Macaca fascicularis: one gene and its partners. The protein of the gene in region 2 interacts with the protein of the main gene of each other region in a pairwise test. Links are inferred from orthologs where the notes say so. Each region holds a gene or a part of one and is shown on either strand. Other genes may lie near its edges. The genes, in order: AURKB, PSMA3, DMC1, FBXO7 and ZNF366.

Region 1 (3,355 bases), on a different chromosome or scaffold from region 2:
GACAGTGAAACCTTGTGTCAGGAACAAGACAGAATCACTACTGCTTCTATTGGCTCCTGTACTAGATCCTGACCAGAGCAGTAAAAGAATCAAAGACAGTTTCTAGGGTACAGAATTGTTCAGCTGCTCCTACGCTGGCAAAGGGGCAGAGAATGAAACAGAAAAGGAAAAACTAGAAGTTGGACAACCAAGAGAGAGGTGAAAGAAGGTGGCCAGAGATGGCTGGTGTTCCAATGTAGCAATGGGGAGCCAGGGCCCCCAGTGCCCCCGGGCTCTGGGAGTCAGAACAATGGAAAGAACAGACAGGGTAGAGGTGAAAGTGGGGGTAGGGGTGGGGGTGGCTGGGAGCTGACCAGGTGGGTGTCAGAGCTGAGAGGGTAGGGTGTTACCAGGGATAGCAAAGCAATGCTCATCCCAGCTCCTCAGGGTGAGCCACCTCTCCTTCTAGGGAACAGCTTCCTCCACAGCAAAGCCTCCACCTAGAAACATCTACACTCATCAGTACAAAAAGCTTCAGCCTTTATTAAACAAAGGAGGAGGTAGAAGACAGATAAGGGAACAGTTCAGGATCCCTTCTTTCCCCTATACATACACAAACATACAAAACACAGACACACCCCAGTGAATGACAGGGACCATCAGGCAACAGATTGAAGGGCAGAGGGAGGCAGCACCCTCCGAGAGTTGGCCCGGACCCAGGGGTGGGCTGAGACCTGGGCCAGGGGCAGCCGTTCCGAGGGGTTATGCCTGAGCAGTTTAGAGATGAGGTCCTGGGCTCCCGTGGGCACAGAAGCGGGGAACTTTAGGTCCACCTGCAGGTGTGAAGAGATGGAAGGGCTGCATTACTTTCACCCTGGCTACATCTTCCTTGACTACCCATTCTGTCTGGAGTTACTTAGGGCCACGCGGATACACTCTGCCCACCCCCAGCCCCCCAGCCCCTGGCCTCTGCAGCTGGCACGAAGCCCAGGCCGCCCTCCCACCTTGACGATGCGCCGATAGGTCTCGTTGTGTGATGCGCTCTCAAATGGTGGGTTTCCCACCAGCAACTCATAGCAAAGCACTCCAATGCACCACAGATCCACCTTCTCGTTGTGTGTGCGCCCCTCAATCATCTCTGGGGGCAGGTAGTCCAGGGTGCCACACATTGTCTTCCTCCTGGGAGGGATAAGGGGCGTGGGCAGGGGTCCCAGTGACATAGGAACTCTCCTTTCCCTGCTACCTGATGGCAGGGAGCCAAAAGACCACGGGAGGTACCAGGGGAGAGGTCCAGCCAGGCAGGGTTACTGGAGTGGGGGTGGGGTTGGGGTGATGACATATCTGAAAGCCCCAGAGGTAAGCCTGCACACAGCCCCAGCAACTCCACGCTGAAGGATATGTCTTAATGAGATACTCCGCTATGAGGGCAGTGTTCATTTGGAGTTCATTTTGGAGTTCACTGGGGACATCTCTAATGCCCATCAGGCATGTTCTGCTTAAATAAATCAGCTACTATGTGATACTATGAAACCGTTAAAAAATGATGTGGGAGGAAAAAAGGCCACTGCTCCGGGCTTTTTTGAGACAGAGTCCAGGCTGGAGTGCAAGGGGGCGATCTTGGCTCACTGCAACCTTTGCCTCCCGGATTCAAGTGATTCTCGTGTCTCAGCCTCCCGCACAGCTGGGATTGCAAGTGTGCACCTCCATGTCTGCTTAATACATTTTGTATTTTTAGTAACGATGGGGTTTCGCCATGTTGGCCAGGCTAGTCCGCTAGCCTTGAACTCCTGGCCTCAAGTGATCCACCTGCCTTGGCCTCCCAAAGTGCTGGGATTAGCAGGCGTGAGCCACCGCACCTGGCTAAAGTTTTACCATTGGCTCATACGGGGATCAAACCCATGACCTTGGGGTTCTTAGCACCACATTCTAACCATTTTGTTTGTTTTTTTTTAGAGGAGTCTCACTCTGCCGTCCAGGCTGGAGTGCAATGGCGCAATCTTGGCTCACTGCAACCTCCGCCTCCCAGGTTCAAACAATTCTCCCGCCTCAGCCTCCCGAGTAGCTGGGATTACTGGTGTCCGCCACCATGCCCGGCTAATTTTTGTATATTTAGTAGAGACAAGGTTTCAGCATGTTGGCAAAGCTAGTTTCGAACTCCTGACCTCAGGTGATCCGCCCGCCTCAGCCTCCCAAAGTGCGGGTATTACAGGCGTGAGCCAGCACGCCCAGCCCCTGGAGAGGTTTTAATGGCCCCGCCTCACACCCAGGGCTGGCCTCCCAGGCCACCATACCTCAGGGAGGGCGCATGCACAGACCAGCCAAAGTCAGCAATCTTCAGCTCTCCCTTGAGCCCTAAGAGCAGATTCTCTGGCTTTATGTCTCTGTGAATCACCTTCTTCCCGTGGCAGTACATCAGAGCATCTGCCAACTCCTCCATGATCTGGGAGGGGCAACGACAGGCAATCAGACAAGGATGGACCTCCAGCTACAAGCAGCACACCCTCAGCCTCCAGCCCCCTACTGGCGGCCCAGGTGCCCACCCGCCCGGACCGTGGCTGTTCGCTGCTCGTCAAATGTGCGGCTCTTCTGCAGCTCCTTGTAGAGCTCCCCGCGGGGCGCATACTCTAGAATCAAGTAGATCCTCCTCCGGTCGTAAAAATAGTTGTAAAGACGCAGGATGTTGGGATGGCTGAGGGAAGAGACAGAGGAAGCCTCAGGCCAAAGGCATAAAAGAGCTGGGAAAGATAATAGGAGCAAACTGGGGTCAGACGGGGCCCAGGCTGGGGACACCAGGAATGGGAGTGGGAAGGGGAAACTGGAGGCAGATTTCTGGATTCAAGGCTCTGGCCAGGACTAAGGGCTAAATGGGGCTCACTAGCCGTAGCTACAGAGAACGCAATCTGGATGAGGTAGGGCTGAGTGAGGAGCTGGGGTGAGGGAGCAGAGGGGCTTCGGCTCAGGGGGCATCAACCCATACTGCAGGTGGGCCTGGATTTCGATCTCTCTGCGCAGCTGATGCTCCACGCCCTCCTTCTCTATCTGGGACTTGAAGAGGACCTTGAGCGCCACGATGAAATGGCTTTTCTTCTCCCGAGCCAAGTACACGTTTCCAAACTTGCCTTTGCCCAGAGGACGCCCAATCTCAAAGTCATCAATTGTGAAGTGCCGCCTGCTTAGAAAGTGGGGGAAGGCAACTCAGAACCGGTTTTGGTTATTAAGAGGTTTGCTTTCTCTCCGCTTCCTCATCTCATCCTGTCCCCCGCCCCACTTCTCTTCATCTCTACTCCTCCTGCCCTTAGGTTTTATCTTCCCGACTTCCTGCCCATTCACTGTCCCCTCACCTCCCTCCACCCCAAGGCTTGGGGCACTTACATTA
Region 2 (3,943 bases):
TTAATGAGTATCTATTATGTTAGTCCACTACATGGAATACAAAGGTGATCACTCATTCATTAAGTCCTTCAATTTCAAATCAGACATGAATCTAGGTGCTAGAGATACAGCAGTAAATCAGAAAAGGCACTAAGATGAAAATAAAAGAGTAAAGCAATGGAAGGAACTACTACAGACTACATCATCAGGGAAGGCCTTCTGGGGCAGTAATATTTAGGCTGAGTCAAACCTAAATGACAAGAAGCTAGCCATTTAAGATATGAAGGAAAAGCCTTCTTGGCATTTGGCACAAAGATCTTAGGGTAGAAATAAGGCTAGCACAGTCAAGAAACAGAAGTAAGGTCACTGTGTCCCGAGCACTGTAAGCAGCAGAAAGAAGAGTAGACTGTGTTAGTGAGGTAGCTGTGGGTCAAATTATGTTGGGTCTTCCAGGCTGCAATAAGGACTTTGTATTTTATTCTAAATGCAACGAGGAATTTAAGCAGGGGGAGTGGTATGATCTACATTTTAAAAAACATCATTCTGGCTTTATGTGGAAAATGAATTCTAGAGAGAACAACAGAAGCAAAGATGAGGTGTTCCAAAGATCGTGGTACTAGCTTAGACAAGAGAAGAGGTAGAAGGGAATACTTTTTCAGAGTATAGTAAAAAAATAAAAATAATAAAAATAAACTTGCGAGGCCGGGCATGATGGCTCATTCCTGTAATCCCAGCACTTTGGCAGGTCGAGGCAGGCTGATCACGAGGTCAAAAGATCGAGCCCATCCTGGCAAACATGGTGAAACCTCGTCTCTACTAAAAATACAAAAATTAGCTGGGCGTGGTGGTGTGCACCTGTAGTCCCAGCTACTCGGAAGGCTGAGACAGGAGAATTGCTTGAACTGGGAAGCGGAGGTTGCAGTGAGCCAAGATCGTGCCACTGCACTCCAGCCTGGCGACAGAGCAAGACTCCATCTCAAAAAATAAAAAAAAAACTTGCTAAAGCGTTGGTTCTGGAAGTAAAAAAAGGAATTAAAGATGAATCACAGATGTTTTCATATGACCATTCACTGAGCTGAAGACTGTAGTAGATGCAAAATGGCAAGGTAAGGAGAAAACCCAGAGCTCTACTTTGACATGCAGTACAAAATAAACAATCAAGTGGACAGACGTGTCAAGCAGACAAACAATTATTCATATCTGGAGTTCTTGGGAGAAATGAACACAGAAGATAAGCCTTCAACAGTGGTACTTTCTGAGTCTGTTTCCTGATCTGTTTTTTTTTTTTTTTTTTTTTGATTCGGAGTCTCGCTCTGTCGCCCAGGCTGGAGTGCAGTGGCCGGATCTCAGCTCACTGCAAGCTCCGCCTCCCGGGTTCACGCCATTCTCCTGCCTCAGCCTCCCGAGTAGCTGGGACTACAGGCGCCCACCACCTCGCCCGGCTAGTTTTTTGTATTTTTTTAGTAGAGACGGGGTTTCACCGTGTTAGCCAGGATGGTCTCGATCTCCTGACCTCGTGATCCACCCGTCTCGGCCTCCCAAAGTGCTGGGATTACAGGCTTGAGCCACCGCGCCCGGCCTCCTGATCTGTTAAACCCAGATCATTAACCCTACCATTGTTACTAAAATATCCCACATGGTTATATTATCAAGTATTCTTTAAAAGGTTTGTAGAATGAAATACTATTAATTGAAGGTAATAATATAATTGCAAAGTCAGTTTGCTACAAGATTTATTATTGAGCATTTACTTATCTAAGAAAAGTATGGCAGAACTTTAGCATTCATAACCGAATGGATTAAACCATTCCAGACATAAATTGCCTATTATCAAATTTAGAACACCAGTACTTGAACTTAAGGCTGAGCATGAGAATCTTGTTAAGTAGAAATTGAGGAACTGAGAAACTCATTATTCAGTAACTCTAGTGCAAATAACCAATAAATCTTGTAGAAACTGTATTTTCTATATAGAGTACATAAAAGGAGTAAACTGCACATATACATACGTTTAACAAAGGAAAACCAAACAAGTTAACAAGTCCCACTGCAAAATCCTCAACAGTCTATCAAAAGTCTGAAGCTGTTAAGTTCCTAAGTAACCACTTAAACGTTTACGGGATAAATGCCTACAAGTGCTGTTAGGTACTTTGTATAGGAAAAACAAGGACAAAGGAAAAACTGAAGGATTCATCAGATTTAGTTATTCAGATCATTTTTATTAGTTCTGTTCCGACAGGGTTTCCAGTGACTCTTAAACTGAGCGGTCGATGATCTGCACACTTAAAGACAGAGAAGGCCCGTGAATCAGCAGCAACCTGGGAACTGCAAACGCAGTCCACAGAAAGCACGATCTCCGGACCGTGGAATCTCAAATCTCACTGCCTCGGTGGTTCTCAAGAGAACACACTATTTCAAGCCCCACGAGTTTCCACTTTCGGTTTCCCTAAGTGGCTGAAGAAAGTGACTCAGCAATCCAAAGCTGCTCCAAACCTCACCGCGGCGACGCCAAGCCGGCTACACCTGGGCTGAAAAGCTTCAGGAGTCATGGTCACCTGAGACGCAGGCCTAGCATATAGGGGATAAAGACGACCGGTCTCCAAACAGCTGCAAGTGGCCCACCCAGCCGAAGGCGGTCTTAGAGCACCCCAGGTCCGCGAAACCCTTGTGGTCTGTCCCAGTTCCCTTCAACCCCAAGCCTTAGGTTAAACTATCACACCCAGAGACAGCAAACTCACCCCGGTGCCGATGGAGCTCATCGTGCTAAACCCAACGGGACGCGTAAGGATTCCAGGCCTAGAGCGCTGCCCCTACACCACAGGATGCCGCAAACTAGTAACAGACCCGCTCATTGGCTGCATCGCCAACCAATAACCTTTTTCTCTGTGGCTCGTTCCGCGGCTCCGGCCCCCAGGACCAGGAGTATTGTGGGAAAGAAGCGGGACGCTAGAGGCTGGCGGCGCGCATGTTCAGAAGCAATAGAGGCGGGGTTGGGGAAAGCAAAGGCTCCGCCTTTAGTTCACGTACTTTGAGTTTTTGGCGTCGTTTAATCTGAGAAGCTGCTCTATTCCTTTCCTAGGAATTATTATTTATCTTTTTATATTATTATTCCCTCCTCGTCACTGTATTCTGTCTTTAAGCAAAAGGGAGAGATGCTCGTATACTCACAAAGAATAGAAAAAGCAGTAGGGGCGAAGTAACCTGTCTTCCTCCGCGTCCCCATCCTGACCTAGAATCTTGATGGCATCCACCTCACCTTCTTATGCCAGGCTCTCGGGAAGTTTCGCTTCAAGGGTATCGTCTTTGAATTCAGCTTGGAATTTTACACAAGTATTAGTACTCTTTCTATGAGTATAACGCTTTTTGGTAGAGTTAAAGATATGTCTGATTAAAGATATTTATTGAGCGCTAATGTATTCCACGTGTTGAAGAAAAAGCTGTAAACAGAACATACCACCGTTTCTAATGGAATTTACATTCAGTAGGAAGAAATAGATAACGATAAATAAGCAAAATAGTAAGAAGGAAGAGTGCTTTAATAGAGAATGGAGATACTAACTTTAGGCAGTGTGCTCAGGGAATGACTTTCTAAGTGAGTGATATTTAAAATAGGATAACAAAAGAGTGGTTGAGGGAACAGTAAAAAACTTGGCTTGCGCTAGGAACTGTCACGTCAGAGTGACCCCTCATTAAGTGGGGAAGAGTGACAGGAAGAGAACAAGTGCACATGACAGCAAATCTTGAAGTGGTTTGAATTTTAATCCGATTGTAAATAGGGCATCAGCCTTTTTTTACTCCTAAATATTAATACGTCAGTGTGTATTTCCCCCCCAACACAGGAACATTATTTTACATAGACACAGTATTATTGTGAAAATTAGAAAACTAGCAATACTGTGATCTATCAACTTTCTTTTTTTTGGGGGGTAATTTTCCCTATAAAGTCCTTCATAGCTAAAGAAAA
Region 3 (3,517 bases), on a different chromosome or scaffold from region 2:
ACAACAGGCCAGGCGCGGTGGCTCATACCTGTAATCCCAGCACTTTGGGAGGCTGAGGCGGGCAGATCACGAGGTCAAGCGATCAAGACTATCCTGGCTAACACAGTGAAACCCCTTCTCTACTAAAAATACAAAAAAATTAGCTGGGCGTGGTGGTGGGTGCCTGTAGTCCCAGCTACTTGGGAGGCTGAGGCAGGAGAATGGCATGAACTGGGAGGCAGAGCTTGCAGTGAGCCGAGATCGCACCACTGCACTCCAGCCTGGGCGACAGAGCGAGACTCCATCTCCAAACAAACAAACAAAACAACAACAACAGCAACAACAACAAAAATGTAACATTTATGTATTATAATCTTTAACAGAGACAGATGGTGAAAAACAAAATGGTTGGAACAAAAACCATCTTAGATAGATGGGGGAACTGATTATTTAATATTTATTCAATAATAATACATAATAAGTACTATTGTGATTCATAGCAAACACCAGATTAAGAGCTCATCTGATCTTCAGGGAGCAGCTTTTCCCTCTCTAGGCTACCCTAGAGTTACTGCAAATCTTTGCTTTGTGGCTTGGGGTTGATCAGTCAGTCACAAATATGACACATCTACCATGTCCCAGGAACTGGGAATACACCGGTGAGGAAGCAAACCCTTAGGATTACTATCTAGAGGGGATGACATATGTTATACAAATCATTACCAATAAAATGAAAGTACGTTCCTTGAGGGCATGAACTAGTCTTTTTGTTTTGTTCACTGCTTTATCCCAAGAACCTAGAACAGTTAACATGTAGTAGTTTTTCTCTGTAAAAATTTATTAAATCTGTAATTCTTTATTTTTTTAAATTTTGTATTTTTTATTTTTTTAAGACAGAGTTTTGCTCTGTTGCCCAGGCTGGAGTGCAGTGCCACGATCTTGGCTCACTGCAACCTCCGCCTCCCGGGTTCAAGCAATTCTCCTGCCTCAGCCTACTGAGTAGTTGGGATTACAGGCGCCTGCCACCACGTCCGGCTAATTTTTGTAGTTTTAGTAGAGATGGTGTTCCACCGTGTTGGCCAGGCTGGTCTCAAACTCCTGGCCTCAGGTGATCCGCCCACCTTGGCCTCCCAAAGTACTAGGATTACAGGTGTGAGCCACTGTGCCGGGCCAAAATCTGTAATTCTTAATTAAACACATAAAGTGCTGAGAAAGAATATAGCATATAATATACTGAGTAACCTAGACTGTAAGGGTTAGGGAAAGGTTCCCCGAGAAAGTGATGTTTAAACTGAAACCTGAAAAACAAATGGAGTTAACTTGGCAAAAATACTTGATACTTACCTTGCACTTACTACACTTTAATTGGAATTGATGATTTCATTATCTAGGTGTATGCTTTGAAAGGTCAGGGAGCAAGTCAACGTGTCAACAGAATTCCTCAATCCCTAGTACCTAGCACACAGTAGGGACTTCCCAATAAATTGAATACTTTTTTTTATAAGGAAATTCAAATACACAGCATCTGCCAGTAATAATTATAGCCTTGCGGTGGCTCACACCTATAGTCACAACACTTTGGGTGGCCAAGGTGGGAGAACTGCTTGAGCCTAGGAGTTTGAGACCAGCTTGGGCAACATGGCAAAACCCCGTCTCTACACACACACACACACACACACACACACACACACACACAAAGAATAAAAAAAAAATTACCTATCATAAATCTTGGCAATTCTGAGCTCTCCTCTTCCCTTTCGCAAGCTTATTCTTGTTGTTGAAGCATGAGCCAGAATGTGTCCCCCAATGGGTTTTTTGGGATCTGCCTGAAAGCTGAATTAATAAAATACCTTTTCAGGTTTCATCATATGGACTATATATGGCAATATCTGCCATTACAAGGCAACCTTTCTGTGGTGGATGTCAGGAGTTGGAGTAAGTGTATATTCTAAACAAGCAGAGGCTTGTTCATAAACTAAGGAGTGGGGTGAGTTTTGGAGCTGCTATATACCTCATCTAGTCTAGGCTTCTGAGATTCCTATGATAGTTTATATTTTGTTTGACTTTTTCCTTTTTTTTTGAGATGGAGTCTAGCTCTGTCGCCCAGGCTGGAGTGCAGTGGTGTGCTCTCGCTCACTGCAACCTCTGCCTCCTGGGTTCAAGAAATTCTCCTGCCTCAGCCTCCCAGGTAGCTGGGATTACAGGCGCCCACCACCATGCCCAGCTAATTTTTTGCATTTTTAGTAGAGCCAAGGTTTCACTGTGTTGGCCAGGCTGGTCTTGAACTCCTGACCTCATGATCTGCCTGCCTCGGCCTCCCAAAGTGCTGGGGTTACAAGCGCAAGCCACCACGCCCAGCCTGACTTTTAAAAATGAGATTACTGGCCGGGTGAGGTGGCTCACGCCTGTAACCCCACCACTTTGGGAGGCCGAGGCGGGCGGATCACCTGAGGTTGGGAGTTCAAGATCAGCTTGACCAACATGGAGAAACCCTGTCTCTACCAAAAATACAAAATTAGCTGGGTGTGGTGGCACATGCCTGTAATCCCAGCTACTCAGGAGGCTGAGGCAGGAGAATCGCTTGAACCTGGGAGGTGGAGGTTGTGGTGAGCCGAGATGGCGCCATTGCATTCCAGCCTGGGTAACAAAAGCGAGACTCCGTCTCAAAAAATAAATAAATAAATAAATAAATAAATAATAAAGCACACTACATGGTAATTTTAAATGTATGGGTCTTATTCCCCAACTATACTCTAAATCTCTGTTCATCTTTGAAACTCCAGTGCCTGGAAAAGTGCCTATACTATACAGGGCACTCCATAAATATTGTGGAATAAATACAGAGATGACAATTTGGGACTCCCTAGTCTAGGTCCTTCTTGGACACAGATTTGTGTCATATCTTCAAAACTGCAATTCAGGGAACTTTTGAAGAGTGTTCTGACAGAGGCAAATATAAAAGAAGATAGATTCCCCCAGTTGAAGCACCATGCCTCCCATGCCATTATAGATAACCTAAACAAGACTGGGAAGCTAGAGCTTCTAGATGTGTAGTCATGATTTTTCTTCTTAGCAAACTATTGTTCGCTGTTACTAGTGTGGTACCCGATGTGCAAAAAAGAATAGAGACAATTGTTTGTCATTACTGTAGGTGAAGAGCCTGAATGTTAAGAACACTATTTCCAAAAGGAGATGATTTTGAATCACCCGAATGGGGAAATAAATTATAGCATTTGCAAAAGGGCAAAGAAAACATATAGGAATGAGGCTGGGCACAGTGGCTCACGCCTGTAATCCCAGCCCTTTGGGAGGCTGCGGCAGGTGGATCCCTTGAGCCCAGGAGTTCAAGACCAATCTGGACAACATGGTAAAACCCCATCTCTACAAAAAAATACAAAAATTAGCTGGGCAGGGTGGTGCGTGCCTGTAGTCCTGACTACTCAGGAGGCTGACGCAGGAAGATCTCTCGAGTCCAGGAAGTTGAGGCTGCGGTGAGTCGTGATTGTGCCACTGCACTCCAGTCACTCCAGCCTGGGTG
Region 4 (3,517 bases), on a different chromosome or scaffold from region 2:
GAATTACTTCCATGAAACACAGATCTCTATATTGGTTAAATATGATACCAGAGAGATCTCCAAAGATTAGTACAGAAACTATGAACTATCATCAGACTGTAATAAATTACATACTAGTGTTATCTCATAACAATATAATTCAGCACTCTATGACCCTAAGAAAAACAGGAAAGAAACAAACTCCTCAAATTATAAGCAAAACTTTCGCATTTTTTAAACCTTTGCATTCTTAAGCAAACCACATTATCTTACATATGCTTTAATCTCACATAGAAATTTTCTGTCTTTTGAACATTATCTTTCAGATTTTTTTCTTACACGAATTTCACAGAGTTTCACTCCAAAAGTTAAATAATGTTTATATTACCTAGTTTCTCTTTGCAAATAAAAGATTCTGGTAGCAGCTGCAATCTTTTCACACTTCTAATCTCATTGTTGATTTTCAGTGTAGCTGTAAATAAACATAAGAAAGATGATAAAAAATTCTGTCACTTCATCAACTGCCTTTCTTTTTTAGTATGGGCTTGCATTTCCTTGCTCCTAATATACTAAGGACACATTATATAAAACAAACTGTTCTTCGCCTATTTCTTTCTCTGACAGCAAGTTCAAAAGTGTAAACCTGGCATCACATGAAGTAAAATCACTCTACAACACCACCTTTAAAAACTACAGTAAGCATCTTTATATAAAATCTACTAGGCAGCAGCTTATTAGTAATTGAAAGATACACAACAAGGCTAATCAGAGGCAACTAAACACAATAAAATCATTATTTCTAATGAAGTCACTAAAAACTCCATTTATCTTTTATTTAACCCTTGGCAATGAGTCTTCCCTTGTTCATTAAAATAATCTTGCTAGTTTTCAGAGCATCATCTCTCTTCCAGACCCAAAGGACCAATATTCTTGACATCACCAGAGGGTTCAATTTTAATCATGTATACAAAGGCGCACTTCAACTCATTCCATGAAAGAGCCCAGTGATGTGCTTATGCACATGTGCACCAAGCAGGATGCCTGGAGTGAAGGAAAGATTTAAAGACACACTGCTCTTTTCAAATAATCAATCCTGGAATGGCTGGCTGCCATGCAAGTCTGCCAAGAGCTGATTTGCCAAGAACAGTAAAGAAACAAAGTATGAGAAATTAAGAAATCATCAAGACATTCAGTAGTTATTCTTTTTATATTAAGTATTCTGAATCTAATGAATAGAGGTTATTATACATGTCATTAAGTGCTTTTATAAGAAATCAAGGCAAAATTTGCAACTACACATTTACTATTTGGTAACTTCAACCTTGCAAGTTATGATGTGATGTAGCAGAATGATGAGAGGAAGGCAGAAACTGTTGACACTCTGTGTACAAGAATGCCAGACTAAAAGCTACATTTGCTAATTATGATGAACTGCTGAATAGACATTGCTAGGTCCTAGTGTCATCAGACAGTCATGTCCTGACAAACGTGAAGTACCACCAAAGCTATTAAAACCTAACGTTTTGAGACTTTTAAATAACATTTCAAAGAATCTTATGACTAAAGAAATAGAAATTTCTTAAGAGGCCAGGCGTGGTTCACACCTGTAATCCCAGCCCTTTGGGAGGTCAAGGCAGGAATACTGCTTGAACCCAGGAGTTCGAGACCAGGCTGGGCAACACAGTGAGACTTCATCTCTACAGAATATAAATAAAAAATAGCCAGGTGTGGTGGTACACGCCTGTGGTCCTAGCTACTCAGGAGGCCAAGGAGGAACACCGCTTGAGCCCAGGAGGTCAAGGATGCAATGATCCATGCTCTGGCTACTGCACTCCAGCCTAGGTGACAGAGCAAGACCTTGTCTCAAAAAAAAAAAAAAGAAAAAGAAAAAGAAACTTCGTAAGAGGGGAATGAGAACTATCCAACATCTCAAAGATCAAGACAGCATAAGTCAGTAGCTTTCAAAATAGATTTTAGCAGGAAAAAAAAACCACCACCATTTTTTTCAAACAGAATCTCACACAAAACTTCAATAAATGAAACAGATAAACATTTTGCTGCTTTTAAGTGGTGATAAGGCTTCTACCTAACTTTCATCTAGGCAAAGGAGCAGCTGCAGAACATACTGAAAACCTGACCTAAACCTTTGACCTAAGGCTTACCAAAGCAACTTCCTTTGCTAAACAAAAAAGATGAGCTATACTGAATAAACAAAACAACAAATGCAGCCCTCCCAATCTTGCCACACTATCTTTCTAACTAAAAGGATAAACCTCAAAAAACAAAACAGAATAAAAATGAAAGCTCCTAGTCATTCAAATGGATCTCCAGGATGTGTGATTATGATAGACTACTAGGAGTTGATATGAACCAAAGTGGTATCTGAACTAAAACACAAAGATGGAATGCCTTGCTATTCCAGTGAAATTTATTAATATGAAAAAGGAGACAGGAAAAGTTATTTATGCAGAGTGACATTTGTTGGGGGAGGCCCAGTAAATAAAACACACACTTACTAAGGCCTCAGTAAACTTAGCATTGTTGTTGTGCACTGCTGGCCACAGAGATGCGAACTTGGATAAATGGTGACCCCAGCTCTAGTTCCCCATGTCTCAGTTCAAGACCTTCGTTAAAAAAATAAAGCCATCCACAGGGATAAAGAAAAAGTATTCTCCAAAGAGTTCATGTATAATAGGCTCATTTCACTCATATTATCAAATATTGATAATATTGGATAATATTAAATATTACCCCCCAGAGCAAAATATTACAAAGATTAAGACATCAAGAAAATGGATGCCCTAAGAGTGAAGGGTGCTGGCCTAAACAACCCAACAACCTCTTACTCTATAATCTTCCAGACACATGTTATCAGTGGTCTAGGAATTCAATAAAGTTGAGAAGGACTCACAACTGTATCATGATAGCCAATCACTGAAGTGGCTATAAAACATTTGGAAAGAAACGTCTAAGAATCCATAAACGAGCAACCATGACTATGCTATTCAATTACCATTTACAACAATCAGGTTTCCCAGAGGCACACAGGTGAGAGTAGCGGAGCTGCCCTCACAGAGAGGATGCATGTACTGCAGCTTATACACCCCGCTCAACTTCCACTTCTCCGGCATGGACAGTGCTTTGGCTTCGGTGCCCTGGGGAACGAAATGAAAGGGAAACAAATAATGAAGAAAGGTGTTACTCTCAAAAAGATTAAAAATCCAAAAGACTCCTAACTTGTTTGAAATAATCATTCCACATAGTCCTCTTAATACAATGCATCATTAATATTGCCATTATATTTTATATTGTAGGATAATATATTACAACACTTTTAATCAAAATTTTTGTTCAAACAGGTAAAATTGCAATATGGAAACAGGGATTGATCTCTCTCTTCCAAGACTCACTTCTCTGCCTAGCAAAACCATATGATTATTTAAAACTCCAAAATAATCAAATATCACTTCCTCTGTAAAGCCTTTTTCAAAGAAAAATTTTTTGCCATTTCCTTTCGTCCCCTAACAGTCTATTCATA
Region 5 (3,517 bases), on a different chromosome or scaffold from region 2:
CCCTTACCTCAGGACACAGTACTCTTAGCACTTCATGGTGGTGGGGAGTCTGACAGGAGAAGCTTTAGGCAAGATGGCAGGGGAAATGGGTCAGAGATGGACACAACACACAGGTGAGTGATGACAACCAGGTGGGGCTAATGAAGCAAACCTTGGCCTACAGAAAAGGCCAGCCTCCAACAGTTGGAGATGGACATGTCTTCTAAAGGAATGTATTGGGAAGTCTGGGATAGGATGAAGCACAATAATAACCAGTACCTAGCTCTACAAATAAGAGTCAAAACTACCAAACAAGAGGTTTTTACATAAACAGACACAGTACCAGAGGGTTATTGCTATGGGCAGTCACACGTACATGACACCCGGTCAGTATTGCTTTTCTCAGTGCCAGTGCCTAAGTAAGGCCGACCTGCTGGGCCCATCCCACCCAGTAGAGTCATTTCCACTCACTGGCATCATGGTTCAAGAGTCTGGGAAGAGATAATGGGTCACCATAGGCCAGCCATGCATTTTTCAACATAGTAAGTGACCATAAACATCACAGGCATCATCTTCTAGTATAATGTCAAAAGTGTGTGCCTATATAGAGAGAGTGTGTGTCCACTCATATGGCTCTTACAGACAGGTAAGAAGGCCTAAGTCAGCAGTATGATTGTGAGGTCTCCTGTTCTCAACCTTAAAGAGTCTGAGGCTAGGAACAGAAATACTTATGAAGTCTCTGGGAAGTGTCCTGGAAGCCACAGAAATGGTGAGTTCTATTTTAGTCCCCTCAATCTTCTCAATCTCGGAAATTGCACATAAGAATTGCCTGGAGCAATCTGGAAAATTCCAGTCCTGGGGCTCCACTCCAGATCAATTAAATCAGAATCTTAATGGGTGAGGCCTTGGTTTGGTGTCTTTTTTTCAAAGGTCACCCCAGATGATTCCAATGTACAGCCAGCACTGAGAACATAGTCCAGAGTTTTCTTTACTTATGATTAGCTGTCAACTATTCTAGTAACCCAAATAAGTCAGAGGTTAGATTTCTGGGAGAATTCTCTGAGGTCACCCCCCAGCTCTAGCTCTGAGGAGAAACCCCCTGGTCACTGGTGACAACTCTTCCTGCATCTGTCCTTTTTTTTTTTTTTTTTTTTTTTTTTTTTTGAGGCAGAGACTCACTCTGTCACCCAGGCTGTAGTGCGGTGGCATGATCTCAGCTCACTGCAACCTCCACCTCCTGGGTTCAAGCGATTCTCCTGCCTCAACCTCCTGAGTAGCTGGAACTACAGGCATCCGCCATCACGCCTGACTAAATTTTGTATTTTTAGTAGAGATGGGGTTTCACCACGTTGGCCAGGTTGGTCTCAAACTCCTGACCTCAAGTGATCTGCCTGCCTCGGCCTCCCAAAGTGCTGGGATTACAGGCGTGAGCCACTGCGCCCGGCCCCTGCCTCTGTCTTATGCGGCATGAGGCCTCAGAGCAAGACAGCAATGGTCTCCAGGAGGGAGCTCTGCTTCAGAAGTGGGGGTTTGTCTGAGGAACCAGGACCCTGAACATCATCAGATCATCTGAAAAAAAAATGCTCCAAATGCTCAATCTGATGAAGACAGCCAACATAGAACAAGAAAATCTAAGTATTCTAGGTCACCAGTTTCCCTTAGTCAAAATTATTCTTCTCCTGAAATTTTACCTTATATCTGCAGCAACTACTCGAGAGCATTCTCTTCAGCATTTCATCCTCCTGTGCCATTTCTGACATGTTTGGTTATAGAATAAAGGCTATTTTAATATATACAACTACTAATATTTTCATCTATCTGGAAAATATTATAACCTTCACGGATTCACCTAGTTATTAATAAGGTGACACCTCAAGCACCATATTTTTGCAATTAGAAATTTACCATGTATTGCATATAAATCAGAGGAAAGTAGAATTTCTAAAAGCACCTCAGCATCAGCTTACGATTAGATATCTAGAAGAATACTCACAGTTTATTATACTGGCGATGCATCAAACGCCACTGAAGAAGACCCTGCACATGTGTGAAGGGTATCAAGGGCCCCGTGAATGACCTGAGAAGGCTTTCCATTACCTACATCCCTGCTTATTTAGTCTAAGCCATTTGTAGAGATTGGTACTATTTGCCAGTCTCCAGAAAATGACAGTTCATGCAGAAAGCTATATTTGAACTGCCTCGTTCTCATTTTCCAAATGTAATTTTAAAACTGTCCACTTAGATACCTAAAAGCACTGCTTGTTTTTCCATTTTCCTCTCCAGTAATTCTTTCAAACTCTCATCTCTGTGCTTGAAGTATAAGTAATCAGAAAAAGAGGGACCCCGCCGGGTACTCTGAAAAGCCCTGAGGCTGAGACACTCATCTCTGCCTGCATAGTCTCTCTCCTGGCCACCCTCTGCCCCAAGGTCGCCCTTGCTGCTCTCCTCCCATTCTTCCTTGGATGCATCCTCCTTCTCCTCCTTGCAGGTTTCCTCCAGCACCTCCGGTGCATGCTCCGGCTTGGTGGACAGATCCTCGGGTGTGCAGAGCTGCTGGCTCTGGGGTGCCAGGCCAGGGCTGTAGGGTTCCACCTCGTAGCAGTTATCCTCCTCTTCCTCCTCATGGCAGTGGCTGCCCTGGGCACTCTCCCCGTCTGACTGGAACATGGGCACCTTGGCCCGGTGCTTCTGAGAGAGGTCAAAGGGCTCCTCCTGCTCCAGACTCCTCAGGACACCGGCTGTCTGTGCCAGGGCGATTCTCCCCCTTCCCAGACCTACAAGAGCAGAGTAAGAATTCATGCACCTGAGGAAATGCTGGGGCAACGGAACCTTGAGGAAGGGGAGCAGCCCAGGGCCGTTTAATGTATTCTGATTGCGTATTTTACAAATAGATCATTCCCAGTAAGGATGTGGTCATGGGAGGCTTGTCACAGGCAGTGTCCACATTGGTTTAATCCCTTTAAGGTGAATTTGGCAACATCCACCGAAAGCTTTAAAAATAAGCTTTGACTTAGCAATTATACTACTGAGAATTTAAACTGAAAAAATAGGCAGGCAGGTGCACAAAACACGTGTATGGATGCATATCACCATATTTTTTATCACAGTCAAACTGTGAAAAATTTTTGTATTTAATAATAGAGGTTTGGTTAAATAAATAATGATATATCCATATAGTGAACCATGCATAGGTGATGTGGAGACCTACTAATGATCACGAAAAGATATTTGCTATGTATTTTAAGTAAAAACAAAATATATATGTAAGTTTGTGTGTGTGTGTTTATTTATAGTGCAGACCTGATTTTATCTAGCTAGCCATCTCTATCAAAAAATGCCTTGAAGAAGTATGTCAAAATCTTAAAATTAACAAACATTCTCTTTTCACTTTTAATGTACTATTGTTTTATTTTTTACCATGAGCATACGTTTTATCATAAAAAAAGTAAATCAATAATAAAGGCATTTTCATCTTGAACAAAACAAAGATATCCCATTTGGGGCAGCAGACACCACGCCAGGACTGTGGCCCCTATGC

Evidence for each region.
Region 1: the proteins of PSMA3 (region 2) and AURKB interact in a two-hybrid assay, tested with the Homo sapiens proteins (2 studies listed by BioGRID and IntAct). The link is inferred for Macaca fascicularis from reciprocal best matches to the Homo sapiens genes PSMA3 and AURKB.
Region 3: the proteins of PSMA3 (region 2) and DMC1 interact in binary tests that used the Homo sapiens proteins (3 or more experiments, as listed by UniProt). The two-hybrid records come from large-scale screens. The link is inferred for Macaca fascicularis from reciprocal best matches to the Homo sapiens genes PSMA3 and DMC1.
Region 4: the proteins of PSMA3 (region 2) and FBXO7 interact in binary tests that used the Homo sapiens proteins (3 or more experiments, as listed by UniProt). The two-hybrid records come from large-scale screens. The link is inferred for Macaca fascicularis from reciprocal best matches to the Homo sapiens genes PSMA3 and FBXO7.
Region 5: the proteins of PSMA3 (region 2) and ZNF366 interact in binary tests that used the Homo sapiens proteins (3 or more experiments, as listed by UniProt). The link is inferred for Macaca fascicularis from reciprocal best matches to the Homo sapiens genes PSMA3 and ZNF366.

Annotation. Positions count from the first base shown.
Region 1 is NC_088390.1:8,284,851-8,288,205, forward strand, and holds the end of AURKB (aurora kinase B), read right to left. Parts: coding exon 3,352-3,355; intron 3,152-3,351; coding exon 2,957-3,151; intron 2,669-2,956; coding exon 2,530-2,668; coding exon of another isoform or gene 2,520-2,529; intron 2,420-2,519; coding exon 2,271-2,419; intron 1,159-2,270; coding exon 984-1,158; intron 813-983; coding exon 639-812; 3' UTR 503-638; downstream 1-502. UniProt on the Homo sapiens protein: Serine/threonine-protein kinase component of the chromosomal passenger complex (CPC), a complex that acts as a key regulator of mitosis.
Region 2 is NC_088381.1:126,091,601-126,095,543, reverse strand, and holds the start of PSMA3 (proteasome subunit alpha type-3), read right to left. Parts: upstream 2,807-3,943; 5' UTR 2,739-2,806; coding exon 2,718-2,738; intron 1-2,717. UniProt on the Homo sapiens protein: Component of the 20S core proteasome complex involved in the proteolytic degradation of most intracellular proteins. This complex plays numerous essential roles within the cell by associating with different regulatory particles.
Region 3 is NC_088384.1:13,125,925-13,129,441, reverse strand, and holds part of DMC1 (meiotic recombination protein DMC1/LIM15 homolog), read right to left. Parts: intron 1,813-3,517; coding exon 1,696-1,812; intron 1-1,695. UniProt on the Homo sapiens protein: Participates in meiotic recombination, specifically in homologous strand assimilation, which is required for the resolution of meiotic double-strand breaks.
Region 4 is NC_088384.1:19,139,336-19,142,852, forward strand, and holds part of FBXO7 (F-box only protein 7), read right to left. Parts: intron 3,135-3,517; coding exon 2,993-3,134; intron 452-2,992; coding exon 368-451; intron 1-367. UniProt on the Homo sapiens protein: Substrate recognition component of a SCF (SKP1-CUL1-F-box protein) E3 ubiquitin-protein ligase complex which mediates the ubiquitination and subsequent proteasomal degradation of target proteins and plays a role in several biological processes such as cell cycle, cell proliferation, or maintenance of chromosome stability.
Region 5 is NC_088380.1:76,382,510-76,386,026, forward strand, and holds part of ZNF366 (zinc finger protein 366), read right to left. Parts: intron 2,754-3,517; coding exon 2,218-2,753; 3' UTR 1-2,217. UniProt on the Homo sapiens protein: Has transcriptional repression activity. Acts as a corepressor of ESR1; the function seems to involve CTBP1 and histone deacetylases.